Linked DNA regions of Bombyx mori. The main gene of each other region encodes a partner of the protein of the gene in region 2 in a complex. Links are inferred from orthologs where the notes say so. Each region holds a gene or a part of one and is shown on either strand. Other genes may lie near its edges.

Region 1 (6,702 bases), on a different chromosome or scaffold from region 2:
CGAACCAATGTTATCTATACGCAATATGAAACTGGTGACGATAAGGACTCGACGAGCGAATTAACCCATAGACACAGCCCACTGAGTTTCTCGCCGGATCTTCACAGTGGGTCGCGTTTCCGAGCCGATTGTGCGAAGCACTGCTCTTGCTAGGGCCAGTGTTAGCAACACTTCCGGTTTGAGCCCCGTGAGCTCACCTACATGTTAGGGCGAAGCTGAAATAGCCTCTTAAGGCTATCAGCATAGGTAGAAAAAAAAAGTGATGATAAGTAAATCGGCAAAAAATAGTTTGTGGTAGTATATGTTAGATTGCAAACGTATTCAATCTATGTCTCAAGACGGAAGGCGTTTACCTTGTAGAGGATACGGTATGCGATAAATGTTTGAGACAAAATACGCAGCGAGCGAATCTGTAGAAAAAGAAATGTAGGTATTGTTATAATATACCTATACTGTGACAATGGTAGTTTAAACAATTTTTTTTTCAAACCACTCCATTCCTTCCGATTATCGTCCTATTAGAATTAATACCAAAATTACTCGTTGCAATTCATGGTTTTTATTACACTTTACTGCCGGACGAGTTGTTTTGTTAAACGGCCGTCTCATTCTTCAAACACGAACGGTTTACTTCACGGTGAAACTGGGCAGGACGGTGATAAATTTCCGTCCTGGCTCAAAATTCGGAGTGTATGAGTACGTAGGCAAATAATATTCAATTATCTCAAAGAAGCAAGTTGAGCACATGCGTGGCACGCTTGTCTGCACATGTCTCTTAAAACTGATCAATTTATGTACGGTGACAGTTTTAGCGAGCACGAAACGATTTTAGCTTCGGCCGACACGGAAATTTATTTTAGAACGATCGTGTGATATTTGTGCGATACTGAATTTTTCAATGCAGGGTTGTCAAACGTTCGATTTTCTCGTTTTTTTTTTTCTGTAACCCACAAGCATCAAGTAGGTATGTAAAAATATCGGTAACAATCCATATCCTTATGGTAAAAAGGAGGTGTTTGTTTGTTCTTGAAGATGAAAAACAAAAGTGATACTGGTGATTCATAATAACATGATTATTTTGATTTTTTTTCAGTTGTTTTTGGTATACGAATGTCACGAAAGAATGTTATAAATTAAAAAATCCGCCAATGTAGATAAGCTTAGCTTAATAAATTATTAATGTGTGTTTTATTGTTCGCGTTGTTGTAGTATATGTTGCTTCGAGGAAGATTTCATTCCATTATTTTTAATAAAGGAAACATTTTTCCTTCATAAGTAGATTTAGTATCGCGTCCCCTAATTCTATCAACATCTGGCAGCAGCATACTAAATGTTGGCCACAGTTATTGTCTTATTGGCATAGAATATACTACACTTAACCGACTTACTGTAAGCAAGTGATTTTATTAATACTAGAGGTCCCGCAGTAGTCGAAATTCGACTATAATTAATTGGAATTGTAAGTTTGTACACTATTATTATTGTATTTTATACTTCTATAGTCACAAATTTCGCCAAGACTACACTATAAAAAATATTAACAAAGACTAACAATATTTAATCTATTCTCAATCTGACAACAGAGGTCAAGAACAAAAGTTGGACAATAAATAGTATGCATGCGTGTGTGCGTCAAATACATGGTATGTAGTGTGTGTAATGTTTTCTTTATTGATTTAATGTATCTTTTATGCATTATTTTAAAAAAATATTAGCATTGTGCACTTCTTCTCTATATTCTCTATAAGTGTGGAAAATTTCATACTCCTCCGTCCGCGCAATTTTCGTAAAAAGGGATACAAAGTTTTTGCTTCACGTATTAATATATAGATATCGCGGACTCTTGTCATAGCAACAAGACCAAATTTTCAGTTTTTAAGATAATTCCTCTTATATTTTTAGACACAAACAAATACAAGTCTTGTATTACTGGGTTTTTTCTTTAAACAAAACCAATGAATATTTTGTTGAATTAAATTTGAAGAATAATGCATGCACAGATTAAACAAATCTGTTTTATAATGAACATTTTTGCGCACACGTCGGTCCATTTGGTAACAAAAGGTTACCAGAGTCTTGATATCGCATCGGTTAAACAAAATACAGAGAACACTGGCTAATGTGACTAGATCTGTTTTATTTCCGTCAAAAAACGAATGACATCCTTAACGCATTGCGTTTGGACATTCAAAATCTTTAAACCGTGGGCGGATCGAGAGGACGCCACATCGTATAGTTGCGGTTTGTACTCTTGTAATGCAGCAGTTAAACAATATTCTTCAAAAAAATTATTGAAACTGATAATAATAGTGAAAGCGTCAAATGGTGTGAACAGTGATAATAATTTGTAGTCATATTTATAATGCCTATATTATTCAGTGTGATAGCGTGTGATAAACGAGTCGTTTCGAAATTCGCAACCTGCGATGGTAACTTCGTGGAGATATCCGAACGAATGGTCTCAAAAATACCGGTACATGATCACAAGATGACGTACCTTCACGGAAAATATTTGATTCACTATGTTGTTCACAAGAAAAATATATTTCTTTGTATTACAGAAAAGGTAAGTTACGATTTCGTTTGAAAAGGACTTCTTACAAGTTAAAAAACATACATGAAAAAATAGAATATAAATATTGTTCTGAAAGTTCATTGATAATGTCGTCCAATACATTCGAATTGCTCAAAACACGTCATTACGGATCCTCCCGATCCATTAACGGTGCTTTTAGGTACCTCAAGCACCGGTCACCGTCCTCGCCGAACCCGTCGCTTGCGACGAAGGGCTCGACGAGTAAATTAACCCACAGACACAGCCCACTGAGTTTCTCGCCGGATCTTCTCAGTGGGTCGCGTTTCCGATCCGGTGGTAGATTCTGCGAAGCACTGCTCTTGCTAGGGCCAGTGTTAGCAACACTTCCGGTTGAGCCCCGTGAGCTCACTTACTGAATCTAGAATAGCCCCTCGAGGTTACTAGAATAGGTAGAAAAAAAAACGAATAGTATAAAACGAAAATATCTCATTTTTATTGTGGCCGGTGTTTAAAACTTGTTTTTTTTTTATTTCGTTCTCGTCAATAAATTTCTTAAAGATATTAGTTATTCGATCTGGTGCACTTATTGTTGTCCCATATATCTTCTGAACACATAGCACAGAGAAAATTTGGACGAACGATTGCCACTTATTAAATAGGTTGAATATTGAAACTAAACATATACGTCAGTTGAAAATTGAAGAAACTTTATTTACATATTTCTGTATGTGCAAGATTGTGTAAAGATTTTCTGTTAAATATGAGAGAAGCACACGTCGTTATTCGCATAAAGTTCCCTTATGTTAGCTTAAGTCAGAATTATGTAAATATTTTTTCTATAGTCTTCAAATCAAATGTATTTTCTTAACAGAGCTGTCAGAGATCAAGGGCATTTTTATTCTTAAATCAAATCCAGAGACGATTTGCTGAATACGTAAAAAATTTCGAACATATACTGGCAGAGGAAATGTACCGATACAATGAAGATTACAGTACTATAGTTATAAGAAATGGCGAACTGGATGAATTGAACAGGATCAGCGTTGAAAGGAGTGGTAAGTTTTTTTAAACATTTTTTATTAAACAGCTTTGTAAATATGTAGGATGGTTAAGAACGGAACCTATGGAAAGAGCGTGGAACGGAGTGTTAAGGTGTGAGTGAGAGAAATTTGTGAGAAATAGAGAGAAATAATAATAAAAAAAGCAAGACCGCGAGGACGATGAAGTGAGCGATGTGTAAAAAATGTGTCAATAAATTTTTAGTTATTTATTAAATAGTTTGGTAAATATGTAGGATGGTTGAGAACGGAACGTATGGAAAGAGCGTGGAACGGAGTGTTAAGGTGTGAGTGAGAGAAATTTGTAAGAAAGAGAGAAATAATAATAAAACAAAATGGCAACATGGCGAGGTCGATGAAAGCAGCAATATCTAAAAAATGTGTCTATATTTTTTTTATAATAACAATTAAATTCCAATTATACGTATGTATGTTTGTATGTCTTCTTTATAATGTGATTTGCATCGATTTTAAGACGTACCGACCACTAATCAGAAAGTTTGTACACGAATGAAGGACCGTTAGCTAAACAATAATTTTAATTGCTCTAATCGCTCTGAAATCCTGACCGGTATTCAAAAAAGGTACAAAATAAAGATAAAATTATTTGTTGGTACGGTTTGTAATTGAACGTACGGGTTCTTAAACTACATTTAATTTTAAATTAGTTTTTTTTTCTTTTCAGAAACAATTCTCGGCGAGAAAATGCTTTTAGTTGATAGCATCGATAGTTTATCGTACAGTGTAAGTTTACATAAGACATTAAGCCTACAAAATATAGTCATTAGCTATTTCTCTCATAAGCATGAATAACGTAAATGCCATTGTCTCGAGACATGATTTCTAACTCTGTTCTACAGTATAACAAGGACCACCCTTCAAACGGGGATCCTTACTGCTCCGCGGGAGAAATACGGGGTTGCCTTTAATTTTGATTTTATTTAGTTTCGCTCGTTATAAATGTCTCTGCCGGATGTATGAATGCGGCGGAAAAAAAGACTATCAGTTTCAACATTTTAAATGGAAAAAAATTCACAGAATACCTATTAAATAGTATGTATGAGTCGACTATTATCAAAGCCGGCAATGTGACTTTTGGACAATTATTGGTAAATCAGAAAAACGAATTATTGACTTTGTATTCCATTGGCAGTCACAAAACTCTTCTGCACGACATCTTAGATAAATAACAGGTTAAGTATTAACCTTTATTTAAGCAGGTTTTGAACCGTATTCTTTGAAGGAGACGATTATATTCAAATCAATCTGTATTGACATATCAATAACATTTTTTTGTCCAAATGCACAGATTGCCACCTTTGATAATAGATGACTCGTATAAACAAAATCTATTACCAAATCAAGTTTTTTATTTTTTTATTGCTTAGATGGGTGGACGAGCTCATAGCCCACCTGGTGTTAAGTGGTTACTAGAGCCTATAGACATCTACAACGTAAATGCGCCACCCACCTTGAGATTTAAGTTCTAAGGTCTCAGTATAGTTACAACGGCTGCCCCACCCTTCATACCGAAACGCATTACTGCTTCACGGCAGAAATAGGCAGTGTGGTGGTATCTACTCGTACGGACTCTCAAGAGGTCATACCATCAGTAAAGTGAATCGATCAACTATGGCATGCGAGTTTATTTAAGCGACAGCACACAAGTTTATAGTAATATTGTATTATATAAATAACACATACTATTTTGTTACAGACGATTTCGTACGTGGGTAGAGCTCCAGAACAAATATCTATATCTGTACAAGATAAACAACGTTTCAATTTTATTTTCATAGGAATATTTATGATTATTGTGGGATCTTCTGTTTACGTTTTCGGGCCGATATCTTGTGTCACGGCCACAGTAATTATAGTATTTACATTCATTAGATCACTATACGTATCCAAAAATAAAACTCATTCGAATTAAGGAGAAATTGACGACATTAAGATAATTTACTTTCGCGGTCTCATTGAGTTGTTTTCGTTCCGAAACGTATGCTTGAATTTATTTAGTAAAATTAAATAAATAATCTTCTATATAACATTCAGTTATGAACTTCGTATGTAATTTCGTTTTGATTCCTTTTTACAAATAGATATTTACGTCAATAAGCGGCAGGGTGTATTTTTAAAGTTGTTTTTGTAAATAAAATATGTCATATGTTTTGTGTCATGTTTCATAATTTCATATTCTGTAACGGTTACACGTTATACATATATATTTATTGTATGGATGTATTTTCTTTAATAATGTGTTGTTAATAGTACACCGCAATATATCTGCTGTGCAGAATTTCGGGTAATTAAACGGTTGTCTGGAGGAGATTGCTTTTAGCGATAAGACCGCCTATTGTACCAACTCATCTGCTTCTTGACTGTTTTCTGATGTAAAATTGTGTTTTGGTGTGCAATAAAGTATGTTCTCTCTCTCTCTCTCTCCCTCTAACGTTTTTATTTTATTAATTGTCTTTGTTGGTTAGACGAGCATACCGCCCACCTGATGGTGAGTGGATACTGTCACTCATGGACGTCAGCGATGCCAGAGATACAGCCAAAGCGCTGACTACCATTCAGTACTCTGCGCAAACTTCGTTTGAAGAAAGTCATATCGTAGCGCTCAGGAAAGAGATAGATGATACGTGGCAGAAAAAATGGAAACGCTGGAAACTCACTATGGACGAATGCACAAATTCATCGCAATTAAATGTATCGTTGAGGCGAAATTTTAAATAAAAAAATTGTATTTAGATTTCGATACACATAACATTTTTTCCTCATTTGATTATAATATAATTATGTAGAATAGGGATCGCAGCGCATAAAATAAAATTTCCACTGTTCCAAAATCTTCTGTTATAACAATAATTAATACTTTTATTAAGTCTTGCTCATTTTTAAACCGTCTTCGCCATCTTCCAATTCTCTGTAATTCTGTCTGTCATTCTCTTCTCCCTTTCTTTCCGTTTTCTCTCTTCACATCTTAACGCTCCGTTCCACACTCTTTTCATACGTTCCGTTCTTACCAATCCTACAATTATTATATGTCCAATTCTTTCGATTTATATGATTTTTAATCTGTATTAAATGTATAGATAAAGATAA
Region 2 (6,791 bases):
GGGCGGGATGATAAGTAACTACCCTCTACTATTTAAAAAGTTAAACTTTAAAAAATATATATGTCTTTTTTAAATTCGTATCTCTGGCTACCTGTGTTCTAAATTTGAATTTGATGGCGTGAAAATTTTATAGATTTTTTGTCATTTGAAAATATATTTCGTCAAGTGTTTTCAAAATGGATAAAATTGAACAAAGAGCGGTGATAAAGTTTCTTCATATGAAGGGCATGAAGGGGAAAGATATCTATGACGAGTTAAATAATGCTTAGGGTGAATGTGCTCCTTCTTATGCCATAGTAAAAAACTGGGTGGCTGAGCTTAAACGTGGTCGTACATGTGTCCAAGATGAAGCCCGCCCCGGACGTCCAAAAAGCGTCACGACTCCGGAAATGGTCGTGAAAGTACATGATATGGTTTTAACAGATCGACGATTGAAGTTATCTGATACAGCTGATACTACAGGTATCTCTAAAGACCAGGTACATCATATCCTAAGTGAGGAATTAAATATGAAAAAGTCATCGATCGGCCCGTTGGGTGCCACGATTGCTCATGCACGATCAAAAGAAGATTCGGGTGCAAAAGTCAAAATAATGTCTGGACCGTTTCAGAGTAATAATGCCGATTTTTTACGTCGATTTGTAACAACAGATGAAACATGGGTTCGTTATTACATGCCAGAATCAAAAATTCAATCAAAACAGTGGACGCAATCGCGATGCCCGGCTCCAAAAAAGCCATGGCTGTAAAGTCGGCTGGAAAAGTGATGGCTTCCGTCTTTTGGGATGCAGATGGGATCTTGATGATAGATTACCTTCCTAAAGGTCAAACGATTAATGGAGAATACTACGCTAATCTTCTAGATAATTTTCATCACCCACCTTATTCGCCTGATATAGCGCCATCAGACTTCCACTTATTCCCTAAGCTCAATACTTTTTTGGGCGGACAGAAATTTACCACAAATGATGAAGTCATAGCCGCTGTACAGGAGTATTTTGCAGACTTCGAAAGAAATCATTTTATGGAAGGCATTACTGCTTTAGAACGAAGATGGAATAAGTCTGTAGAGGTTCACGGAGACTATGTCGAAAAATAAAATTAATTTTATCACGAAAAGTTAAGCGTTTTATTGTTAGGCTAGTTACTTATCATCCCGCCCTTGTAGTTTTTAAGCTATCGAGAACATAAAAAAATCGCATTATGCACACATGATTTGCGTGCGACTTGTGAAAGTTTTACATGTTAATCAAGTTAAGTTTTACATAATTCCAAAACACTACTTGAGATGGAAATAAAACAGTGTCATAGGGTTATTTTTGATCATGTTAATTACTTAGATGTATGAACTGTGCTGATCAGTATTAAAATTTTACTTCCACTTTCAGACGCCATTTGAACTTATATTGCTGCGGACCGAAGAAATTAGTGAAAGCATTAAGACACAAATGTGGATACACGTCTAGCACTACGAAGACCAAGTTTACTTTCGTTCATGAAAGCTTTTCATGAGGCATTGTGTTTTAATATCAACAATTAAATGCATTTTGAATAACAACGAAACATGTTTTATTTCCTAATTATTTTTAATATGAATTGAACTTATGTATTGGGTGGGTCATTTACGACCCGCTATAACATTAGATCGTGGATCCATCACCGACCGGAGGGTCAATTCAAAAGCAAAATTGGTTATGTGGTGTACAATCATAGCTCATCTCTTTCCTGGGTGTCAAGCTTAAAGGGTCACAGTTGCAGAACTATTGATATATCACATTACATTGGAATATTATTATTGTAATATTAAGATGTTTTTAAATCCCTTATCTTTTAGAATTTCACGATCCGTTATCCATTAGGAAAAAAAAATACGTTGTTGACTATAGAAAATATTCTATAAAGTATAGATAAAAACTGTGATACACGCTTTGTAATTGGAGACTGCGGGCCTCGGGCAGTTTTTAGAACATCCTGCCCTCATAGCTAAGCCTTAAGGCGAATTTACATTACGAAATTAGTGGCATGAAACTAATTTCGTGACATTAGTTTTACCAACAGTTTCACGTGTAATTTAATACTTTCGTAATGCATGCATTAATTTCATGCATGCATATTAGTTTCGTGCCCTGCGCGATTTTTTGGTGATATTAGTGTCATGCAACTAATTTCATAGTGTAAACGCGACGTGAAACTAATGTCGCGAAAGGGCCTGCGTTGTGCGGACGTGTGTATTGTTAGTTCGGACGCGCTTCAAGCGTTGAAAATGGCAAACCAACGATGGAGTACAGAAAAATAAAATAGATCTTATTAATGAATATCAGCGAGAAGGGTGTCTATGGGACCCGAAACACCTACCGTAAAAAATCAAAATTATCTTCACTCATTCGAAAATAGTTTTTATTACTCTCAGGATCTTCATCTGCTAATTCAGAGACTAACTTCATTGCACCTAAATGCCTTCTTGTTGACCATCCTCGAATCTACCAACTTTTTTTTTATTGATAGCCTTTTTTTAAGTTCATAGGTATATAAGCATTTTTTTAGCTACATTGAATATAGCAAAATATAGCTTTGATGCTGACGGCGCCATGGTTACTGCGATACTGTGGATTTCGCGACACTAATTTTTTTACGAAATTACTTTCGCATATATTGAAACTACTTTCGTGAAACTGAGCTCAACATGCATGACACTAATTTCGTAATGTAAACTCCGCATTAGAGTTTGCCCGGCCGACACGATCTGAGGCCAACAAAAATCCTTTCATCCCAAATAAATAATTAGAGATAGGTACTTAAGTTGAACATATAAGTATTACAACTATCAAGATTGATAATAATAAATTTAAGTATTATTAAGTAAGAACATGCTCAGCAAATCTGTACTGAATGAACAGAGTTTTAGACCCTATGTTTAATCCTTGAATAAATTTTAGAAGTAAAACCTTCAAAATTAAACATCAAGATTTAAAAGACAGCAAAAACTAAATGTCACCTAAGACGCTAAGTTTTTTTACGCATAAGAGTTCATGAGTGTATTTTAGCTAAATTTCTGTGCCACACCAATGTTTCTTCCTACGGTCTCCTCTGCTTAGCATTATGAAACCTGCATTTACTACAGACAGCACAAAGAAAATTGGGAAGCGTGTTAAAAAGATAAAAAAGAAATCAAAGAATAAAAAAGATCTTGTAAGTTTTTTCCTCCTAAGTTTTTGTTGTAGCCTTAAACTGACAAAGCCCAACTTCAATACTGTTAAGGGGGATTTAAAAGATATTCTTCAGACGTTTCTTCAGAAGGGTTGAGGCTCTAACACGTAGTTAATTATGTATGTTGTGGCAGCAAAATTATATCCTATAGGCTTAGTTTAGCAGGTTTTTTGCCTTAGAAAAGGCAATGAAAAGACGGTCAGTTCGCGGGAAAGTAGTCTCAGTCTACCAAAGAGGTTTGCTATAAGACATTACCAAGCCTCTACTAAAACATTTAATTCCTATCTATATGAAAGAGAGTGAAGCGTTCATGACAATCTAATCTTTGTGTCTAATAAACCTATATTAATTAGGAGTTATACATACCTGATCCTATAGACCGAATGGTAAACAGTCGACGGCGCCCAAAACACGTCATAATGGATCCTCCTGATCTATTAACGGTGCTTTTAGGTACCACGAGTACCGGTCACCGTCCTCGTCGAACCCGTCGGTTGCGACGAAGGGCTCGACGAGCGAATTAATCCACAGACACAGTCCACTGAGTTTCTCGCCGGATCTTCTCAGTGGGTCGCGTTTCCGATCCGGTGGTAGATTCTGCGAAGCACTGCTCTTGATAGGGCCAGTGTTAGCACCACTCCGGTTTGAGCCCCGTGAGCGCACCTACACGTTAGGGCGAAGCTGATATAGCCTCTCAAGACTATCAGCATAGGTAGAAAAAAATGGAGTTAATGTAGTGGTAATGTCCCCAGCGGGCATTTTTGTTTTCTGGATCGAATTATGTGTTATGATGGATTTATTTTCAGACAAATATTAAAAGTCAGCATGAAAAACTCAGTGTAATTTGTCCAATTTGTCTACAAGATCTTTGTAATAAATCCGTGCTGGCGACGAAATGTGGCCACGTGTTCTGCGCCACCTGCTTAAAGACAACGTTGGAAAGGCAATCGGACTGTCCGAAATGTAGATCTAAAATAAAATCATCTCGTGGCTATCACGCTATATACCTGGATACTTCTAGTTTCTGTAAGAACGTTTTAAATTTGATAGATTTAATAATGTGTACGTCATTGCCATTAGGTACCTTTTTGAAGCTAGTGTTTGTAGTACTATCGTTTATTGCGAGTGCTAAATTATTTAGCATGCTTTATTAAAGACGACAGTAGCTACTTTTTTGCTTTGACGGGAGCATAAGCTTTCGGCCCATACAAATGATGAATGCCGCCAACATGAGACTTCATTTTAAGTCTTAGTCCTATAGTTCAACGGCTGTCCCGCGTTTCAAATTGAAACGCATTATTTTTTCGCGGTAGAAACTTGCAGGGTGGTGGTATTTATCCGCGCGGGTTCATAGCTTACTATCAGTAATATTAATATAGAATCCTTTTAGGTATACTTAATCACATGAAGTTTTAACCTGAGATAATATCGTTATTGCTTTCAATAGGCTATGTACATTATTTTGTATTATAAGAAATGTAGGTACTTTAAAAATTGATGAATAAATCCTTTTAAAAAAAAATTTGATTCTTGTAGGAAATAAGAAAGTTAATATTTTGCGAATTTGTTGCGATGGTTTTGAAACATGTTCTGCTTTGCACCAAATATTCTCAAATATGAAGTGTAGGTACATATTATCTATGCTATTGTTTGGATCTAGTTGATTAGTGTATGTATAGAAGGTAGAAGCTGCTGTGTACAGGTGGACACTTAGCAAACTTGTCTATAAAAAACACGGTGGACTTCTTACTTCTACCTTCCTACTAGTGACATGATTTATGATGAATGACATTTCTGACACATGACATTGTAATGACAATAGTGAAGTTTATGAATCCGTAAACTCTCTAAAAACAAATAAGATTAAGTAATATTTAACTTGTAAATTAATATAAATTTTAATGATAATATAGAAAATACACCACAATGGCCCTCAAAATGGATTTGAGTCCAACGGACCCATATCATCAATCGTTGTTTGCAAAATTAGAAAATCCTGATGTGGTCTATCAGAATTTCGTGAAGAGATTGGCTAAGTATCATTTTCAAGTCAAAGCAATTATCCAGGTATGTTGTTTGTATATTAAATTAATTAGATAAATTAGATTTTTTTGTCTAGATGTCTTTTTTACATAGAAGATATTCGGTAGAATTAGAATAGTAAAGTAAGTAGAAGAGGACTAGAATCTAAAAACTCAGTTTGTATTTCTTATTAAGAATTTCGTAGTTCATAGACATCTTTTTAATAGCTTAGATGAACAATAAAAGAAAAAGTATTGAAAGTTAAGTACAAGCTCATTGTTTGCATTCACATTCACTTTATTTCTATTAGCACAAGAAATTCATTCACACTACTGAACTGTGAGCTTATTCACTCATATAATTAATAAATAAATAAAATGATGAACACTGTTAACTACTACACAATGTCAAATTCAAATTTAAAATCATTTATTTCAACTTGGATGTCATCAAAAACACACTTGTTGAATGTCAAAATGTAAAAGAAAATATTAACTCTACCACCGGTTCCAAAAAAAGCCACAGTCCTGAGAAGAACCGGCGAAACAAACTCAGTGGGCTTTTTTTTTTTTGTATTTTCTCAACTATTTTCTTTTTTTTTAAACAAGAAAACATATTTACAGTATACAAAAAAACAAGTCAAAAAAATACAATTCAATTAAATAATAATAATAATGAAAAATGAAAAGGCCAGGAGCGAACGCCTCATTCCCACGTAGTGCCATCTAGTAAAAAATCCTTAACTTTATAATATGCCTTGTTGCACAAACGTTCCTTGACAGTTTTCTTAAATCTATGAACAGGTAGTAGTTGAACGTTTTGTGGGATCTTGTTGAAAAGTTGTACACCCAGCCCCCTAAAAGAGTTACTTATTTTCTTAATTCGAGCCGCCGGCAATGCAAGCCTATGTTTGTTCTTAGTGTTCACATTATGCAAATCGCAGACTCTGGGGAATTCTACAATGTTTTTACGCACGTACAATAAATTTTCAAAAATGTATTGGAAATGTATTGTAAAAATGTATATGTGGTTTCTTGGTTTCTTGAGTTGTTGATCTGAGTCAATAAACCAAAGTGCCTGACAACAATAACAGTTTTTAATAACTGAGCAATTTGATTACAGCTTGATACTTGCGGAATAAACCTTAGAATTATAAATATTTTTTGTTTTTTTAGGATATCCTGGAATGCAGGGAGTCGATGGAGAAATTAAATGAGTTAAATGAAAAAGGAAGGGCAAAAATAACGGAAGTACGAGAGGAATTAGAAAATTTATACCTGTATGGTAAAGAAACAGGGGATACAAAATATGATACTGAATTAGAATCACAGAGGCACCTTTTAGCTTGGTCAGTTACTAAAACATATTTTGTAAATCCTATAAAAATATATATATCCTCCTATATATCCTATAACTAACTCATCTTTCGAAAAAATCTTGATAAAACGACCCTTCTTTTTATGCAACAAAACTTGGGACCATGCACTAAAGCTTGGAAGAATCATTTTGACAATAAGTTTGTCAATTTAAATTGCGGAATTGTGATTTACTAATCTATGATC
Region 3 (6,790 bases), on a different chromosome or scaffold from region 2:
AAAATTTATGACAATTAAAAAAAATCGCTTTCTTAAAATAATAATAAAAATTTAAAAAACAATGTCTTACCATGTATGTAACTAGCTTCGATTCTTGTGGAAGCCCGTTAGGCGGTGCGTATGGTAGAAATATTGATGGATCCATAATTTCAAAACTGCAGTGCGTCTGTGCAGTCTGCTGCAAAGAAGAAAAAACATAGTCAATAAATCAATAAAAGTAGCGTAGGTACCTACTTCACAGTTTTGTTCCCAACTTATGTAGGTAGTAAGCACTTTAAAATTGACCTACCTTAATTTATGATTCTTTTCGATTCACAGTTATTCATGACAATGAGAGTACCCCAACATGTCGTTATTAAGGGTTCAATTTCAACCAGACATATTTGGAAAGCTAGAATACTATATTAAATACGTGATAGAAATCAAACCCTCAAAAATCTAAAAACTACGTATTTCATTGTCTCAAAAGACGGGGCTTAAAGGCAATCTTTATTGATTCATTCACACAAAACACTGGGGCAGCAATTTTAATACAAAATTCACGGACTCTCAGAGACGGGGACACGAAGACAATAGAGACATTAAACAGGAACAGGTAAGAGATGAGTCCTAATACGTCGGTGAAGGTAGTGTGTACCAGTGTACGTACACTACAGTGAAACAGTCTTCCATAGACTAAAAAACATTACCCATGTAAAATGTAAGTCAACATTATAGAATCTAGTACAATCCGGGGTGTGTGAATTCGTTAGCATAACAATTTAATGATTTTCGACTTATTCTGATAAATTTACCCGTATTGGAATGAATCTGTTGTTTATGTGCAGTAAAAGATAAGAAACTGAAAAATACATAATAAGGTTTTTGTTAATTAAGTTGGTCTGAATCATCAATTTCTTGCATTAATTATTACAAAATATTTTAGTTTTCAAATAAAGTTTTTATGATTAAAAATACATTATCTAGGGCCGGTTTAATTAAAACATCATGCTAAGAAAAGAGTTAGTTATTTTTATATTTCACCTTGTTAGGTATTGTTAAGATTATATTTAATCTCGCCTTTTTTCTAGTTTTCTCATAATAGGTTGAAACCGTGCTACCAAGATCTAATGGTCGATTTTATAGCCGCCACTCATGATAAAAGGAGTTATAGGTTATTATTTTCATTTGAAAGTTTTCATCATTATATGTATGGTTTTATTTTTATTTTTAAAATATAGTTGATTTTAAAATTTTACTAATTAAAATATAAAAAAAATACTGTAAAACATCCATTATCCACTTTTTAGAGCATGGCATTCCAGCCTTCTAAAAGGCTTGCTTCGAACTATCTTGTGAGACGATGAGTTTAGATGGGATAAAAAATGACCCAGAAGTGGCTTAGCGGGGAAATTAATGTAATTCTAAGTCATTCACTCCATTTCATGACAAAAAGAGCATGACCCATTTACGAAGCCTTCAATAGTCTCTTACACTATATGATGTAATGGAAAAGCTTGTAAGGCCATACCAACAATGAAGCATTTTCTATCTTTAAATGCGCGATTGTATCAGAGTCTATTAACTGCTATCAGTGAGCTTTTTATTTTTTGAACTAGTCTATGGGCCAATATGTGCTGGCGACCAGCAGATTCTTAGTAAAAACGTGTCAATGTCATTCTGCAACGATTAGGGAAGATACGTGAATACGGTAGTAGTACCCTAGCCAGTTTTTTGCTGAAGATGATATATAGTGGGAAAGAGAGAGCCCTACTATCTCTATACCGATCTGATGTTACTTAAAGAGAAGGCATACATTTTGTAATAATTTTTTTTCAGTTTAAGCATTTAATAAATAATAAAATAAGTTTTCAAAAAGTTCAAGTATCCAATAGGTTCAATTAAATTGAAAACAGTAATCACGTCAGTGAGAGCTTTGGGAAAATTAAACATAATTGCATTGGGTTTTTAAAAAAATGCATTGAACTGTTTACAAATGCCCACCACGTTGTTGAGAGTTAATTAATTTAATTTTATCCAACTATTGCTCTGATGTCTTATGTCATATAATTTCAGTCCATTTAAAATTTCACATAACAGACACGCCTTCCGTCCTTTTTACAAAAAAATATCTATGGGCTCTGTTTTCTTTGCCTTTCTACAGAACAAATCAAACAAACAACAATCTGTTTTGTCAACTGTCATTTTTGATGAGTAATTTTGAGCAAGCAGTAACTGCAGTCCTATGATCAGCTCTAAACTTATCTGTAGTAAATGAGTAGCATATTCTGCGTTTGATTGTTTTCTATCATAGCTCTGTAGTGTATGGGAAGAAGAATACAAACCATTATTTTAATTAACATAAAACTATACATACTCACCATCTCTTTCAATTTATAGTGGGTAGGTACATGATTAATAACACTATATTTTCACGTTTACTTTCATTGTATATCGATTATTTATTGTTTATTTCGTAGTGAAAATGGAGGCGTCTTATCAAGGAGGTGTGTCATACGATGAGAATGGAGATAACTTTCAACGACTTTCTCAAACTATCGCCAGTAATATTAAGAAAATATCCCAAAATGGTAAGTGTTATTTTGAATGCTGAAATGTGAGATTAACGTATGTGAATCTAAGCCTAATATTAGAGAGATACAAAATTACTAGGAAAAATCAAATCAATTAGAAATTTTACTGATTAGAATCGTTCTTACTAAAGTTTTTCTAACATGTGTTTCAATATTTAATGTTTTAAGTTCTAAGTTAGACTACAAAACCCATAGATAGCACTGAGAATGCTGCCACCTTCAGGCTCCTGGAGTCTCAAGTGTTTTGAATAATGTTGGCTGTCTCACCATTCACTCTGGAACTTGAGACTACTTTGAGGCTAAAAGAGACAGGATCTTTCTATCATGCTTTTTTTCTAAAATGTTGAATTCGCTCATCGCCAAGTGATCTCCTTGCTATCATTATATGCCCCACTCTTACTTTATTATACCAATTTTATTTGAGCTGTCAATATTCATCTGAAATAATAATAATAATAAGGATTAACTTTGTACAACTGACGACCGCCAGTCTGGCGTAGGATCTTTCTATCATGCTTTTTTTCTAAAATGTTGAATTCGCTCATCGCCAAGTGATCTCCTTGCTATCATTATATGCCCCACTCTTACTTTATTATACCAATTTTATTTGAGCTGTCAATATTCATCTGTAATAATAATAATAATAAGGATTAACTTTGTACAACTGACGACCGCCAGTCTGGCGTCCCGAGGGGGAGGGTGATGGGAGAGATGTGCTCCGCACTAAACGCTTCACTTTCCCCCCTTTGCCTTGTCATGAGTTCTGTCTCATGCGAGGTTTGGACATTGGTTGTTGAGCGACAGGAGGTTTTAGTCAGTTCGACTCTGACATACCCTGCTCAGTATCCCCAGAAAATGGTGGAAGTCTGGTGATTTCCTGCTGACCAAAAAAAAAAAATGTTTTGTTTAGATTTATTGACTAAATGGTGTCTTAAAATTATTTAACTTGAATAATGCATATACAGTCAAAACCGTTTACTGCGACATCGTTTAATACGACATGCCAGTTATAATAACCAAGAACAAAGGTCCCGGCTGAATGCCATATGACCGCCTTATTAAAAATATTGCTTTCTACGACATTGCTTATAACGACATACCTCATAAAACGACCACATTTAACTAATATTTCGGAGAATTAGATCTGTTAGAACGACCGACTAAGCTGTATTGTAAACAATTTGAATAGGTATCCACATTTGTCTTCAATGGCTATTAAAATCAGGAAAGAAAACAATAGGATTTAGTTTAGTGTAGGGTCTTTTCTAATTCTTAGAAACAAAACACGTGCATGCAGTAGAGTCAAAGCCCGCTTCTTCATATCGCTTCAGTTAGTTTGTTACTTATCTATACACAAGACGCACCAAAACTTTGTGGAGTTATTCGTGAAACTTTCAAAATGTCGCAAAGAAAAAGAAAACAAATTAATATTGAAGAAAAATCGCGTATTATGTAAATATATTTTTCCAATAATTCCCTATCGATTTGTTTGTACTTTCACGATACACATTATATACATCACCGGTTGTTACGACTATCGGTTTTTACGACTTAATATGAGCAGTCCCTTCGATGTCGTTATAACAGATTTTGACTGTAGTTGCTATTTGTAAGTAAACAAATATAAATATTAAGAAAAAAGTTTTATGAAGTTAGATAAAATATATTAAAATTAGGATAATGTTTGTCCTTAAACATATGCAAAGAAAAAATCAGTCTACATCAAAAGTAAAGTATGCTTTATTGTACACCAATATCTGAACTTTTACTACATACATAATTGTTATGTATGTAGCTATATGTAATAATAAAAATAAAATAACACATGCACATGTGTACCAATCATATAAAATAAATAAAGATACAAAACGTTAAACAAAAGAACAGTGGTGAAATCACAAAGAGAGGCCTCTTGAAAATAGCCAATATGTGAGCAAGAATTTTTGAATGAAAGGAATTTACTGAGGTGTACTTATCAAATAAAAAAGAAAAACAGAATAGTATTTTAGTATTTACAAAATTCATCATTAAAAATGCATTTTGATAGTTATGTTTATACCAAAGCATTTGAAGTCTTATGTTAGAGCACAGCATATGCCAGTTTGATTTGAACAATTCTTTATGCATTTTTTTTTCTACCTATGCTGATAGCCTTGAGAGGCTATTTCAGCTTCACCCTAACGTTTGTAGGTGAGCTCGCGGGGCTCAACCGGAGAGTTGCTAACACTGACCCTAGCAAGAGCAGTGCTTCGCAGAATCTACCACCGGATCGGAAACGCGACCCACTGAGAAGATCCAGCGAGAAACTCAGTGGGCTGTGTCTATGGGTTTTTTGCATTTTGTCATTCAGTTATTTATGAAGAATCTTAAATAATTAATAACTAACATAAGTACTTTTAATAAATTTCAATATATAAAATAATAAAGCCTTTTGTTCAGACAACAGATTTACAATTATCTTTCTTATACTACTGCACTTTTATGTATTTAACACAATTAAAATTATTCACATATTTGGTGCTTCTTTACTTTCTGTAAATCCATAGGCTGTTGGCAAAGGCCTCCTCCAACCTACTTTATACTGATCTCTTTTGATCTTGTGTAATTGTTTTAAAAATTTTGCAATTGTTTTCTTATGTGGTTGGAGGATTGTGCTCCTTTTCTCCTGCAAGGACTTGTGGCTTGCAGGAAATTGTGTTATTTCTTTTGTTTGGTTTTCATAATTTGGTTGGATTATCCGTTTGGCGGCTGTTATTGGTTTTTATGTGTGAGGATATGAGTGGGAGGGTTTGATCGGATTCTCATCAAATCGAAGGCGTTTGTCCTGTGTGTTGTGGTAGCAAAGGCTTTCTCTTTTATGTAACTTCCTAAGCTACCAATATATAGATTCATTTTAAGCTCTGTATATTTAGTTTACTTCCATAAATAAATTAAGGTCTCTTTTAAAGTACTCTTTAACAGTTTGAAATAGTTCTAACATGGATTTTTCGAAATTGTTAATATGAATTATGGCAATGACTTTGGGAAATTACTCTTTTAATACTCATGTACATAATATAATATATAATATAATATAACTACTTTAGTTGTAGACGTAGTAGTAAAGAACTAGAAACAATATTACAGTGGTCTCCACAAATAAACAAAACCCATAAAAACTTGCTAGAATGTGCTATTTTGCAATGTGAAATTTAATTAACAATAAATTGGCTTTAGAATAACATTACAAATTAAATTTTATTTATATTTTAATCCTAAGAAGTATATCGTATTTCACAATTCTTAATTTAGTAGTATATATAATATACGTATACATACATTAGAAAATGAAATAAATTGATTGTATAAGGAAAAAGCAAATGAGAAAAATAGCTAAAACTTTTCACTTACTACCTATATAATTACTGTTGTACATTTTCCTTGTACATAAATCATGTTTTTATGTAGTTGAACTTCATTAGTGCTTATCAGGACTGTTAATATGATGGCTCTGTTAATTGAAATGATTATAATAATGATAAGAAACATTAAAATTTAAAATTAAAATTTGCTAAGCTTTAAGTTTTTCAGTAATTTTCAAAACTAAAAATGTTCCCTGAAATCTGAACTATTATTTTATATAATACTAGCGACCCGCCCTCGCTTCGCTTCGGAAACATTAAAACACACATGAAACCTAAAAAAAAAAAAAAAATTAAAAAAGTAGCCTATGTTCATCAGGGACAATGTCGGCTTCTAATGGAAAAATAATTTTTCAAATCGGTCCAGTAGTTTCGGAGCCTATTCGAAACAAACAAACAAACCAATCTTTCCTCTTTATAATATTAGTATAGATTATATTTCTACTATCTAGTAAACAAAGGCAATCGTTTAAATACATTATCCATAAAATACATTATTCATAGGTAGATGAGCCCAGAAATCCAAAGGAATGCCACCATTCACAATAGGGCATAGTGTGGATCTCTCAATTATATTGTATAAAAGTTAACCCTTCAAACAGGATTAAATTGTGGCAGAAATAGGAACTCATTATAATGTATCATTAGTAATTAACCCTTTTTTTTCTGATTTTCATTTATACCTAGATTGTATTTCTTCATGGTTGTACATGCTCTTTTTTATTTAAGTTGGTGAATGAACTTACAAAGCTGTTACTGAAACCTATTGAGCAATATGAATGCTGTCATCCACTTTGAATCATTAGGTTCACATCT
Region 4 (6,120 bases), on a different chromosome or scaffold from region 2:
TCGGCTGTCTTGGGGGTGCGTGCCAACAATCAGGACATAAAATATTGGATGAAGCATTATTCTAAAGGAAAGAAGAAATAAATTGAAACAAACACATTCTTATTTATTAACTAACTAGGTACATAGACATAAATTTAACATTAATAAATGCTCATTCTTAAACATAACCAGAGAATAAAAATTCGCTATTATAACAGAGTAGTACCACGTGAATATTCGTTTTAATCCATATTTAGTATTTCATCAAAGTATTTAAAAACAGAATCCATACACATGTATGATGTCATTTCATGTTTCTCATGACCTGCAAACAAAGTTTTCTTATATATTTGACACAACACAAATGCAGAGTTTCAGTGGTTTAAGTCAACCTTTACCAATGGTTGCTTCAATGTTACTATTGCAGCACTTAATAGTAAGCTTTTAGCTGAACCAGTGATTAATGCTCAGTGTTACTCATGGACAAAGGCAGTGCAAAGATTTGGATAAGTATGTAATTATAATCTAGAAAATAAGTTCATAGAAGAAAGAATAGCCATAGTCTATTCCCCTTAAAAACACAAATAATTTGATTTTATGAATGCAATATTTATACCTGCTGAAAGTCTGGTTATATCGAAATCAGGAGTTCTGAGAGGTGTATCCAGCGGTGTCTGACTAGATATCCAATTCTTTGTAACCTGTAATATCGAGAAACCAATTAGGAAAAGTTAAATTTCAACTGTGCATGCCTCCAGTTACATTCTTACCTGTTTCAAAAAGTTTGTAAGCTTCTTATTAGAATAGGAATGTACAGAGTCAGTAAAAGCAATGGCCTTTACTCTGTCTTCAAAGTCATTTTGCACCTCTTCTGCCAGAGAAACCGTGACAACCCCACCATAACTATGTGCTACAATGAGTATGGAACTTGCATTCGCATTGGATATGTAGTTCAGCCATGCGTAAAGGGCATGTTCCTCAGCGGTGCTACTGTTGAGAATGGTCTTTCCATCTGCTGTGTGATTGTCATTTGTATTTAGTACCACTACTCCATAGTCTTTGGCCAAAGCCTTCTTGATATACGGAATCTGAGATCCTTTGTCCAACGATTCATTGATTATGAGGCTGTGACAAAAATTACATTTCAGAACAAATATACTGCAGGCCTAATTACGTGACCTACTTTAAAACAAGACATGGGGAAAACAAAAAATATGCATTGATTACGTACATATTAATACATAGATGAATAGAGTATTGCCATTGTGAAAGAAGAACAGAAGGGTAATACCATCATTGTACCAACCAAGGATAATGAACAGAATCAGGAATTGAGCCACCATTATATACATATTTCTATATTAATTTTATGATTCAGTACTAAGAAGAAGTTTCATGTTATATATCCAAAGTTATTAAAGTACTACTCAAAAATGGCTTTGCTTGTCTAAATTCAAAATAACATTTGCATTTTGAATTTTATCTCATCATCAATATTATTTATTTTTAATTTTAAACATACTTGAAACCAAAATTTAGTAATTAAGTCATGATACTAACGATCTAGCCCACTGACCAGCTCGCACAACGCCTGATCCGTGAATCAATATTAACAGAACATCTTTTTTATCATAATCTTTTGAAACAAAAATAAATGTTCCATCATTTGAATCCTTTGGGATTGGTAACTTTTGCAATCCAATCTGAGTCTGAAGAATATCATAAACATAATTGGTGATTGCTGAGCCAAGTTCTTCATAATGAGCTTGGCATTCCTGGTGATCATTGCTCACAACAAATTGGAATGGTTCATCTGTTGGCTGTCCATCAGCTCCAATTTTTCTTACTTGACCATCTGTTTGGTAGTAAAAGCATTAAGTATCATATTATTGTTAATTTAAAAGTGAAACTAGAAAATAGTGTAGCATTTAATATCTACAAGTAATACCCTAACAACATATATTAATTGCCTTGGTATGAACATATGGATCTAATGGAAAGTGGTTATCACCACCCTTAAGCGTTGGCACTAAGAGGGTCTCGTGCATACACTTAACTGTACCTGTTTTCAAGTTATTTCTGAAATTTCTTATTGTTCCTATTCATAAGTGGAGGCACTAATTAAATGATATAAAAAATTTAGAATGTTACTTGAATCAAATATGTATCCCAGTTCCTTCATAGTTTTCGTTCCCTCCATTTTGTAATGCACTTTATTAGCACTAGATGCAATCGACTTTCTGTGAGGTCGCAGTCGTACTTTTGATATCGACGTGCGTACTGCGCGAATTACATTCATGAACTGCAACAGAGAGGGTGGTAAGTACGCATCCTGCAGTATTGATCACCTCAGGGAAACACATTGATATATGTTTTATTACAGCTGAATTTATATGCATCTAGGTCTTGAAACTGAAAAATAAACAATCCCCAGGTCCCGGGGTTGGAACTTGACAGTTTGGACTTTGACGTTTAAATAGATAGTCCAAGAGAAAATAGCACATACAGCCAAGTTAGTCGACTGGTAAAAAACCGAAGTTATATTTGTAACTAAATTAATAAAATAGTGGTATTTTTAAAATAATATAGATGGTACAACGTTAATTAACAGCATTTTCTCATGTTATCAACTAAGATTCATATAAGTTAAAGTTAGTAGCATAAGTATAATAGTTAGTTAGTATATGTATAGTTGTATTTTAAACAACTAAAAAAATGTTTGGCTAAAGTATAGATCGAAACTCTAGCAATAATAGTGTATATTTTATATAACCGATAGTGAAATATTTGCGTATTCACATAAAAAAACATAAGAAGCCTCTGATAAAACGTGTTTATTTAAAGCGAAAATATTAACATCATTGATTCCAAAATTTCAATTAAGATCATTTTATTATCATCAAAACTGTTCCTTTTTTTTGTAAAATTATCATTATTTAGAAAATGAAACACAAAACCACCAGTAACTACTAAATTTAATCATTATACCAATCTAGGAACAGCAAACTGAACGACATGACCAGTAAGAAGAACAGAACATATACTCTTAGGCCTGCGTTTCTTTGTATAGCTTGCTTAATCTGTTCATTGGCATCCTTAACGTTTTCAGTTGCCCCGACAACTGTATTCGATATTCTATCTATGTCTTGTTCTTGTTGTAAAACCTGAAACATATTTACACTTTTTACATTTTATGTCAGACAAACTGTTTGTATATCTCATTATTAAAAGCTACCTGCCTACCGCTACTGTTAATTATACTTTTACAAACAGTAATATCAATTTGAATCTAAATAAATCAATTAAAGTATCATGGATTTGAAAAATTTATTTACATCCAATAGTTTACGTATGAAAGAACATCCAAATATGAATATTTTAAGATCAAGATAGTTATGATATGTATGTACCAGTATGTGCAATTTTATAAAGATATAATACACAGACTATAATAAACAACATTCATCCTCTCTGGTGGCAGATATTCTTAACCGCTACTGTTAATTATACTTTTACAAACAGTAATATCAATTTGAATCTAAATAAATCAATTAAAGTATCATGGATTTGAAAAATTTATTTACATCCAATAGTTTACGTATGAAAGAACATCCAAATATGAATATTTTAAGATCAAGATAGTTATGATATGTATGTACCAGTATGTGCAATTTTATAAAGATATAATACACAGACTATAATAAACAACATTCATCCTCTCTGGTGGCAGATATTCTTTTCTTGTAATCTGTTTTTTTTTTTAAATGGCTTATGTATTTATTCAATTTTAACCTTTTACCTTTTCAGTAAATATTTCTTGAAGTTCTGCAATGTGTAGTACTTTGCTTTCAATTTGTTTAACTTCTTCCGTCATACTGTTTAGTTCATTTAACAGCTGTACATTCTCCGACTCAAACATTTGCAACTCTTCTGAAGTCAACTCTCCTTCATCAGACATAATTGCCATCTCATTCTCTGATAAGTCTAATTTTGTTTTTGTATTTTCTTTTTCATCTTCTGTCTCATTCTCTTTTTCTATTACCTTATCTAGTGTAAACGGATTAGGAATACTAGATTTGGTCGCTGGTAGCTCAAGTCTAGACAATTTTCTCATATCTAAAGCTCGCTTAACTCTCATTGCTTTCAATTCACTATGCACTTTACAAACAGCTTTTAAATAAGCATCAATTAAATCTACGACTGAGTCCATATATTCCCTAGTTTGTGGGGTCACTGTAGTTCTTCGATTATCATTCCTGAACTCTTTTAGCAGGTGTGAGCATGTGTTCATGATACGTTGCGCACCGGTGTCTATTTGGTCGCGCTCTTCATCAGACATATCGTCTCCAGTAACATTATTGAAGAAGCTTAAATATTTATCGCGGTGTTCCAATAAAAAGTCCCTAAGCTTTGTAATTTGTGAACAAATATCCTTAGCTGTTGCCATGAAAGCATTTTTTGATTTCACCCTCAATATGCGTTGCTTATCTTCGCTAATCGGACTGTGTATGCCGAAAGCCTTGTTACGAGTTTTAACAGTTTTTATGCAAGCCTTAAATAATGGTGTTATATCCATTTTAAGAGGATTTGTTTATGTTTTAAATGTTTTTTCCTTCAATAACACGTAAGTTTTACTCGTTTTTGACAAATTGAATTGACAAATCAATAATGTCCTCACAGAGTAGACACTAACCAAATTCTCTTTTTAAAATTATCCAATTGAAAAGGCAAAGTAAGCATGGCTTTAAGTAGTAATAAATATTTTAATAGTAATAAATATTTTAATCTGTGATGGCTACATGGACTTTTTGGCGGGAACACGTGGAGTGAAGTTGTGTGATTTGTTTTATTTTGTCTATTTAGTGTTTCTTCATGTTAGAACTGGTCTTCTTGCCATCCAACCATCTAACCATCATAAGTTTATTAAGAAGAATAGTTGTTGCCTAGCATTAATTAGTTAGTCGTATAATTTTATGTGAAAAAATAAAAAGTCAGTATGTACATCCGAAGAAAGTTATCAGGTCATAAAATCCCTTAAAAAAATTATTATACACAATCTGATCTGAAGTCTTTTGCTCGTAAATTTACAGTAGCCGAAAGCATTTCAGATCGAATGGAGACGGAAGAGAGACAGAAATAAATGTTACACCACTCTATAAAGCTTCTGTCGCTTATACAGGGTGCCCTAAAAAATAGTGTCAAGCCGAAGTCCAGAGGTAGAACATCACTAGGGCTATCCGAACCACCCCCATGTACGTTCCGCGATTTTTAATAGTTTTCGAGTTATGATTTTTTAAATATATTTTTTTATTTCTATGTTAAGGCACTTTTTTGCTCACTGTGGCGAGAATAGATAAGGTACATGCCTGATATTTGAACACTTGCTTTTTTTTAAAACTCGGTTTCAAAGTTTAGAAAAAATACACAATTTTTAACTTTTTTGTTTCTTTTTTTTATTAGGTTTCACATTTGTGTTATAATGTATGACATATCAGCTATGAGAGCTTCGCTCAGAGCGTGGTGCAGCAGACACGATCAAATTTAGGTCTGTTAGAGAACTGTCTAAGCATGAAGATGCTTAGACAGTTCTCAGTTCAGTTGGGTGAATTGAATTTAATTCAGTTCAACTGTTGGAGTTTGAATATAAATGTAATGGCAGGCAGCACTTGACGCATGATTACAGATTTCGAATATTAGAATTATTTTAAACGTTTAAAAAACAGATGATTGTATTCTCGTAAGAAAAAGTCAATACTTCTAATCTAGACACGGTCAAAGAAACATGTAAGAAGTTTTATAAAAATATAAAGATAATAATTTTAAAATGGTGTTCAAACTATCTGCAATATAATTATAATGAAGCAGTGTGTTTTTAAATAGCCCTCCATCACCTACAGAACCCAATCACCTCAAATTTAACCATCCAACATCAACCCATTGAAGACAGAGATTTAAAAGATATATATACAAAGGCAATAAAAAAAAAAGATCCACTAACGGTGCTTTTAAGTAACCCAAGCACCGGTCATCATTCTTGGTGAACCCGACGCTCGCGACGAAGGGCTCGGCGAGTAAATTAACCCACAGACACAGCCCACTGAGTTTCTCGCCGGATCTTCTCAGTGGGTCGCGTTTTCGATC
Region 5 (6,822 bases), on a different chromosome or scaffold from region 2:
TAATTTATACTTTAATGGGAAGTAAGTAGGTATATTGTTATGTGCAAATATGATATGATTTAGATGTGTGAAATCTAAGACAAGTTCGTCCTTCGAATTTGCCAAGTAAACGATATGATGATTTTTAAAAGTTGCTACACTGATTTTATAAAGTTGTCGTTTGTCGCAAAACATAAAGATATGGCGTAGTACAGTGCCATCTGCCCATTTCTAGCATGCTAAATGTTATCGTATTTTGAGTACGTGTTTTTCTTAGACTATTACAATCTATTTTAATTGTTTTGCTGACCTAAAGTCCGTAACACACTACCGCAGCGCACCTCAAGGAAGGTGCGCCGCACCATTTGAATCACTTTCACGTGAGAGTGATTCAAATTTTAAACTTATCGTAGGACCGCGTGAAAAAAAAAACACCTATAGTCGGATTTTTAATTAGACGAAGCCAGCTGACAGTAGCTAATGTCACTTTGTGAAATAATGTTGCTATATTTAAAGTAATAGTGATGCGTTTAGTTCTCGTTCAATCACATGAATGAACAATGAGTGTGAAGAATTAATCATTAATTTCAAACTATAAAAGAATATTATTTATATTTTACAATAAAATTGTATTAAAGTGCTCCAATATATGTTACTAGTAGTATGTAACTACAATCAGTATTTTGGAGTTTACTCCTTAAGAATCGATTTACATATATAGGCCCGGGGTATGAAAATTATGGGGACCAAAATCGTACTAGAGAGTATAGCATGTCACACGAAATGCGTTATGCGCCTGATTGGCTCCTGATTGGCCAATCAGGAGCCAACGCGCGGCCGCGTTATCGCAGGTGACGCCGGGCTGCTGCGCCGGCAGTCCGCCACAAAGCCTCGTACTGATCGCGCGTTTCTCTCATTATTGTATTTTCATATATTTGTTAGTCGTTTGTTTTGTGTCTCGTTAATTTGTTAATAATCTGTAGTGTATCGTGTTGTCGTAATATAGAACTATTTCTCGTATTGTTTCGTTTAATTTACCGACATCGTTTTGCTTGTGGCCGGACGCCGTTCGGGTTCGATTCCTGAACGTATCAACTGTTAGTGGGTTGATACCCGAATATAACCCGCTACAAATCATTTATTAATAAAGCTTATTAAATATAAACAATTCCTTCTATCAGTGAATGGACAACTTATATATTAATTGTAAAAGTGAATTATATAGACTTACTTAATTACCGCATCCACGTGTTCCGCAACTCCCGGATCATTCTCACTAGAATACGTAACTTCCATATTTTACTGTATTCAACTGACACAAATTTATATTTATATCCAGTAAACTCCAGTCGTGCGTCGGAGCGGACACACACACTTTTTTTTATTTTCGTTACATACCTATAATTGTTATATTTTATACATCTATAATTTCAACTATCTGATGTATTGGAAATAGGACAGTTTTACAAGCTTCCTCGCAATGTTTTTCATAATGTTTAAAACACTCGGTATTCAGTACAGGTAGATACTATAGGAACATAATATTTCGTCGAAAACTCGTTGGTATGTACAAAGCACGCATAAAATACGAACCCCGTACCCGATATCGGCAATTCGGCACACCTACTATTCATTAGACAATCGAGGCAATTTCATTAATTCAGGAGTTTTTTCAATCGTTCACTTTGTCACAACACTATTTTTATTTCATCAAAACCTGACAACACAGTAAACGTCAGTTTACTTCGTCTAATAAAAAATCCCACTATACAGAACATTTATTCATTAATTACAAACGTCATTCCTTGTGACTTCCTCTCTAAAATCACTTAATTATTAAATATTTACCGAATTTACAATAGTGTTTTATTCACTGCGGCATAAAACTATTTTATTTAAATAGTTCCGAAGAGATTTTGTCGGTAGCCTTTTTCCCGAAATATCTAAACAGAATGTCAATAATATGTTTTGATGACATATTTTAAAGAGGTATTTATAATTAGTGTCATGATCAATAGATTCCGACCGAAAAATGATTTTTCGGATGAGGGCTCCGTAATGAATTTAAATATATATAGATAATAGTTTTGGGGCATCGACTTTCTTGAGATCCTATAAAATACGTTTTAATTATTATTTTTGTATGTTTTAAGCATGATAAAATATGAAATTTTATATAAGCAATCATATTAAATCGCAACCCAAAACAGACGGCCGAACTGACGTGACAATGACATTTGGAGCGCTCAACATGGCGGATTTTCGGCCTCATTAGACATTTACGTATATTCATGTTTCATTTTATGTACGCACTGAAATACTGTTATATTATTTTCCTGCGAGTTAAAGTGCTGAGTAAGAACGAGATAGATATATGTTTATGTGTGTGCCTTCAAAATGGGTGCTATTTATATAAGCAATTGTACGTATAGTACAATATGTCGTGTCCCTACTATATAGGTCTATGATAATCTATGATAAAAGTGAACTATAAATGACAGCCCCAAACTAATGAACATTTTCCAAATAAGATATGACCTAAAGGTCTCTGTCACCACGTCATAAAATTAAAAAAAAAAACAAAAATGACAGCGACTTTTTGGCGGGAACGGAGGAGTGAAGTTGTGTGATTTGTTTTATTTTGTCTATTTGGTGTTTCTTCAGGTTTAAATGTGTAATAATGGTGGTTTATTAACTGTTTAGTATCTGTGAAAGTGCACAAATGTGGGAAAATGAAACAAAGCCGCCGGACGTCACTTCTCGGGATCCTCCAAAAAGTCCAACGAAAAAGTCTCAGTAAATGACCACCAATTTACTGAGATTATATTTCATCCCATATCATCTCATTTCATTTCATTTGATTTCATCCCAGTTGATTAATGTCTCAAATTAATCATCTTCATTTCATTTCATAATTTTTCATAAAAATAAGAGTATAAATTAAAATAAGACATGACTTAAAAGTCTTAGCTACCAGGTCATAAAATACCTAAAAAAAGAGAAAAAAAAATGACAGCGACTTTTTGGGGGGAACGTGAGGAGTGAAGTTGTGTGATTTGTTTTATTTTGTCTATTTAGTGTTTCTTCAGGTTTAAATGTGTAATAACGGTGGTTTATTAACTGTTTAATATCTGTGAAAGTGCACAAATGTGGTAAAATGAAACAAAGCCGCTGGACGTAACTTATCGGGATCCTCCAAAAAGTCCACTAAAAAAATTTCAGTAAATAACCACCATTTTACTGAGATTATATTTCATCCCATATCATCTCATCATGAATACTTGTATATTCAATTGTCCTTCGACATGTCCACCACCATTGTCAATACATTGACGGGCAAGTTTCATTAACTCGTTTTTAACGAGAGAAGTGCGCTTCTATGTCTTTTCACTTCGTCAAAAGCGTCCAATATGCGCTGTTTTAATTGTGCGAGCCTAACCGGCTCGCTTCTGTACACACATCTCTTAATTTCACTCCACAAAAGAAGTCCATGGGCGTGAGGTCAGGTGAGCGTGGAGGCCAAGCTACAGGCCCAATGCAGAAAATAATACATTTGCTTCGGTATTGTTCAGTATCCTGATGCAAAATGAAATCCTCGCTACATAATCAACGGTGGTTAATTCCTGAGATTTCCTGTAGTGATATGGATATAATCCGGCCTTATTAACAATCTTCCAGGCACAGGACTGGCTGTTGTTAAACCGTCGAGCAGTGTCATTTGTACTCCGTCGGGGATCCTCTTCAAAATACGCTAGTACATCGTCGTACAGATTTTGTCACAACGCCAGTCTTCCTCGTTCTTGACTATGTGACGGTGCGTGGAATGAACCGTGATCAAGCAAATGCTGGTAAGCATTTACCACGGTTCGCACATTTGGCTGTCGGGCGTTCGGGTACTCTTCCCTGTACATACGTACAGCTGCACTCGCGTTCGGGTATTCTTCCCTGTACATACGTACAGCTGCACTCGCATTTTCTCCACTCAAAAAGTACCCACGAAGCATAGCTACATACTCCCGTGATGTGAACTGATAAGCCATCGCATCAGGGAAAACTTAAACAAACAACTGTTGCAACGAAAAAAAGCATGCGCACACTTCCGCTAACAATTTAGTAGTGTTTAGGTTTTTGTCGTTATTGTTGAGTTGAGTTGACTTGAGTTTCCTGGAATTTATCAATGGAGCAGCGCCCCGTAGATACTAAAACCCTGCCGCACGTACTTTCGGTCATTGATTTAGTTATTTAGCATTTACCAATTATTACGTATTTTTATGGACAGTTCTGAGACTTCGTGTTTTTTTTATTTTTAACTACCATATAATATGATTAGTTAAAGATACTTAGAGCCCAGTTAATTTTTTTGTACTAATTTAAAAATAGTGGTGTATAGTTATAGGACCACGCGCCTGTTATGACAACAAATTTACTGAACATATAATTACGGTAACATTAAGGTTATTATGAGAATTAAATAACTCGCTTTTGGCCCCAAATTTAAAAACGACCCATTGATCATCACACGATATAATCTTTTGATACACACACACATGTTCGTTGGTGTCACTTCTTCGTCATTTAATTTAAATAGTTGGAAGTGAAGAGATCGACCTTCTCTATAGAAACATAAACACATTGTCATTAGTCTGCCAAAAATTGCTAAGACAAACAACTAGGTATACCCACATCAATTCTAACGAAGTGGTACAACAGTTAAATTAATATGCTTTTTGAGATTACATTGAAATGGCTGTTCCAGATGTTTGTATTGTGAAAATTTTGTTGAATATGTTTCAAATGACAGATGAAATTATTATTTTATTTCTATAGAATTTTTACGGCAACAATTTGTTGGCATGAAGAGAAACTAAAATCCATAAAAAGATGAAAATGAAACAGGACTGTAACCCAAAGAGTAAAAAAAGTAGATCTGAGATAAAAAAAAAATTAATTGTATTAATGCCGGCCACTGACATGCGCGCAAATATTCGTACATTGTACGAATGTTTGCGCGCATGTAAAGGGCCGTCAAACATTCATTCGCAAACCTAGCGGCTGTGCAAATGGGTTCGCATACTCAATTTGCGAACCCGTTTGCGCTTCCTCCTACACTTGTTTACGAATGTCTCACGAATTTCTCCTCCTTTTTAATTCGTCAATAGAACATTGAAAAGAAAAAGATTTTTGAATTCTTTCCCAGACATGATTAACAGCCATGCTGTTTTTATGGGATTTCTTTTGATGAAGATACGCTACACAGTAGACGTCACGAACTATGAAAACGGCGTTACCTTCGCAATCGTCGGCGCAACTGGGCAAGCGAATGTGTGGGAGACTACGCGAAGGTTCGAGGTTCGCGCGCTTTGATGTCTGTTAAAAAACCGACACAGCTTGGAAAACCACGAATGCAGCGAAAACTTTGCATAATCATTCGCAAATGTCGTCCTACACTTGCGGGTTTGCGTATTCGTGCGCATGTGAGTGACAGAGTGAGTAATGGACAAACTAAGCCAGAATAGTCTATGACTACCCCTACGTGTTAAGTGTATTATCTATGACTACGTGTCTGGAATCTATCGAGTGATTAAAAATAAAGGATTGTGGGTAGGTACCTACATACCTTATCTAAAAAATGGAATAGTGGGACTTGATAATTTAAAAGATAGATATATCATCGAGTTTTGAAAAGAATCGATGAGATGAAATGATAAATATTGTACACACATGAATGTACTATGAAAGTACGTAATTATTTGAACGCTATTGGTTTTCTAAGTAAGTATTGGAATGTAAAATTGTGAAATACTGCCTCAATTATGTAAATTGTAAGTTTTCATTTTCAAACAAAATATCCCCAATCATTAACAAGTAAAGCATATGTGTGGTGTAACAGTACTGTTTGACTTAATGTAATTTACTTATCAAACAAAGTTGACAACGTTTTTTCTGTAAAACTTTATAGGTGAAGACTGAAGACTACAATGCGATGCTTCCTCGAAGGCGAAATATAGGCGTTACAGAAAGACTCTTGGAAACAGAAACGGATTCATACAATAAATTAGATAAGAAAGGTGTTCATTACGGGGAATCGCGGCCTTACGAGAACTCATCAAATTCCAAATCAACATTGATTCTTAAATCATCTGACCAGGACGTGTTTAAATTTTTAGAAGAATTTGTTTTTGAACCAGTTATGGCTTCAAGAGATAGAACAAGTGAATTCATTTCAACTGTACGCAGTCTCCAAGGACGTTTCTTAAACAAACCAACCGTAAGAGATGATAGAAAAGCTGCTGTGTTGGAAACTTACTCCCAATTCATGAGTATGGCAAAAGTAATTAGTAAGAATATTACTAGTACATATACCAAATTGGAAAAGTTAGCCTTGTGTAAGTATTTTAAATGATTCAGGCATAAGTCCAATATGAAGTGTTATATTCTTTTCATTTATTGCTTTTATAAAATGTTAAATAAACATTTTTTTTTAATAAGATGTAAAAGAAACGCTACATTTGCTATAAACTAGGTACAAAGAAATTGTTCTCTAAAATGAAGTTAGGTCATAGAGGTAATGATACCAATACAAACAAAAATTGCCCTACAAGATTTATATTTTATGTATGTTACTGTATATCAAATCATGAAATTCAAAATTAATATTGTGAAAAAAAATAACAAAATAACTTCTTCAGCTACCTAAATGAATGAAGTAAAATTAATTGAAGTTCAACCAATCATGTGAAATTCAAGTGAAAACATCGAACTGTTGATGGTAATATCAAATAAAAACGTTAATTACTGAGATAAATGTAGTGTATTGAGCGAAACGTCTTTTAAACCAAACAG

Evidence for each region.
Region 1: vesicle transport protein SEC20 (region 2) and vesicle-associated membrane protein 7-like share a complex: the UniProt entries of both Homo sapiens proteins name them as parts of the SNARE complex. The link is inferred for Bombyx mori from reciprocal best matches to the Homo sapiens genes BNIP1 and VAMP7.
Region 3: vesicle transport protein SEC20 (region 2) and syntaxin-7 share a complex: the UniProt entries of both Homo sapiens proteins name them as parts of the SNARE complex. The link is inferred for Bombyx mori from reciprocal best matches to the Homo sapiens genes BNIP1 and STX7.
Region 4: vesicle transport protein SEC20 (region 2) and syntaxin-18 share a complex: the UniProt entries of both Homo sapiens proteins name them as parts of the SNARE complex. The link is inferred for Bombyx mori from reciprocal best matches to the Homo sapiens genes BNIP1 and STX18.
Region 5: vesicle transport protein SEC20 (region 2) and syntaxin 5A share a complex: the UniProt entries of both Homo sapiens proteins name them as parts of the SNARE complex. The link is inferred for Bombyx mori from reciprocal best matches to the Homo sapiens genes BNIP1 and STX5.

The regions. Positions count from the first base shown.
Region 1 is NC_085119.1:6,313,492-6,320,193, reverse strand, and holds the start of vesicle-associated membrane protein 7-like, read left to right. Parts: upstream 1-2,172; 5' UTR 2,173-2,362; coding exon 2,363-2,566; intron 2,567-3,407; coding exon 3,408-3,591; intron 3,592-4,279; coding exon 4,280-4,338; intron 4,339-5,311; coding exon 5,312-5,527; 3' UTR 5,528-6,702. UniProt on the Homo sapiens protein: Involved in the targeting and/or fusion of transport vesicles to their target membrane during transport of proteins from the early endosome to the lysosome. Required for heterotypic fusion of late endosomes with lysosomes and homotypic lysosomal fusion.
Region 2 is NC_085116.1:13,639,261-13,646,051, reverse strand, and holds the start of vesicle transport protein SEC20, read left to right. Parts: upstream 1-2,982; 5' UTR 2,983-3,189; intron 3,190-4,013; 5' UTR 4,014-4,233; intron 4,234-4,813; exon of another isoform or gene 4,814-5,120; 5' UTR 5,121-5,133; coding exon 5,134-5,274; intron 5,275-6,404; coding exon 6,405-6,577; intron 6,578-6,791. Other genes in the region: NADPH oxidase 4, read left to right, coding at 1,389-1,512. UniProt on the Homo sapiens protein: As part of a SNARE complex may be involved in endoplasmic reticulum membranes fusion and be required for the maintenance of endoplasmic reticulum organization. Also plays a role in apoptosis.
Region 3 is NC_085107.1:5,738,306-5,745,095, forward strand, and holds the start of syntaxin-7, read left to right. Parts: upstream 1-2,181; 5' UTR 2,182-2,382; intron 2,383-2,459; 5' UTR 2,460-2,464; coding exon 2,465-2,570; intron 2,571-6,790. Other genes in the region: PAN2-PAN3 deadenylation complex subunit PAN3, read right to left, coding at 71-145. UniProt on the Homo sapiens protein: May be involved in protein trafficking from the plasma membrane to the early endosome (EE) as well as in homotypic fusion of endocytic organelles. Mediates the endocytic trafficking from early endosomes to late endosomes and lysosomes.
Region 4 is NC_085127.1:13,547,498-13,553,617, forward strand, and holds syntaxin-18, read right to left. Parts: upstream 4,696-6,120; 5' UTR 4,556-4,695; coding exon 3,779-4,555; intron 3,144-3,778; coding exon 2,955-3,143; 3' UTR 2,937-2,954; downstream 1-2,936. Other genes in the region: RNA-binding protein NOB1, read left to right, coding at 1-81; cotranscriptional regulator FAM172A homolog, read right to left, coding at 222-304, 596-680, 750-1,104, 1,540-1,834, 2,131-2,281, 2,361-2,378. UniProt on the Homo sapiens protein: Syntaxin that may be involved in targeting and fusion of Golgi-derived retrograde transport vesicles with the ER.
Region 5 is NC_085118.1:10,687,679-10,694,500, reverse strand, and holds the start of syntaxin 5A, read left to right. Parts: upstream 1-3,001; 5' UTR 3,002-3,802; coding exon 3,803-3,827; intron 3,828-5,176; coding exon 5,177-5,328; intron 5,329-5,499; exon of another isoform or gene 5,500-5,711; coding exon of another isoform or gene 5,712-5,717; exon of another isoform or gene 5,718-5,751; intron 5,752-5,938; coding exon 5,939-6,365; intron 6,366-6,822. UniProt on the Homo sapiens protein: Mediates endoplasmic reticulum to Golgi transport.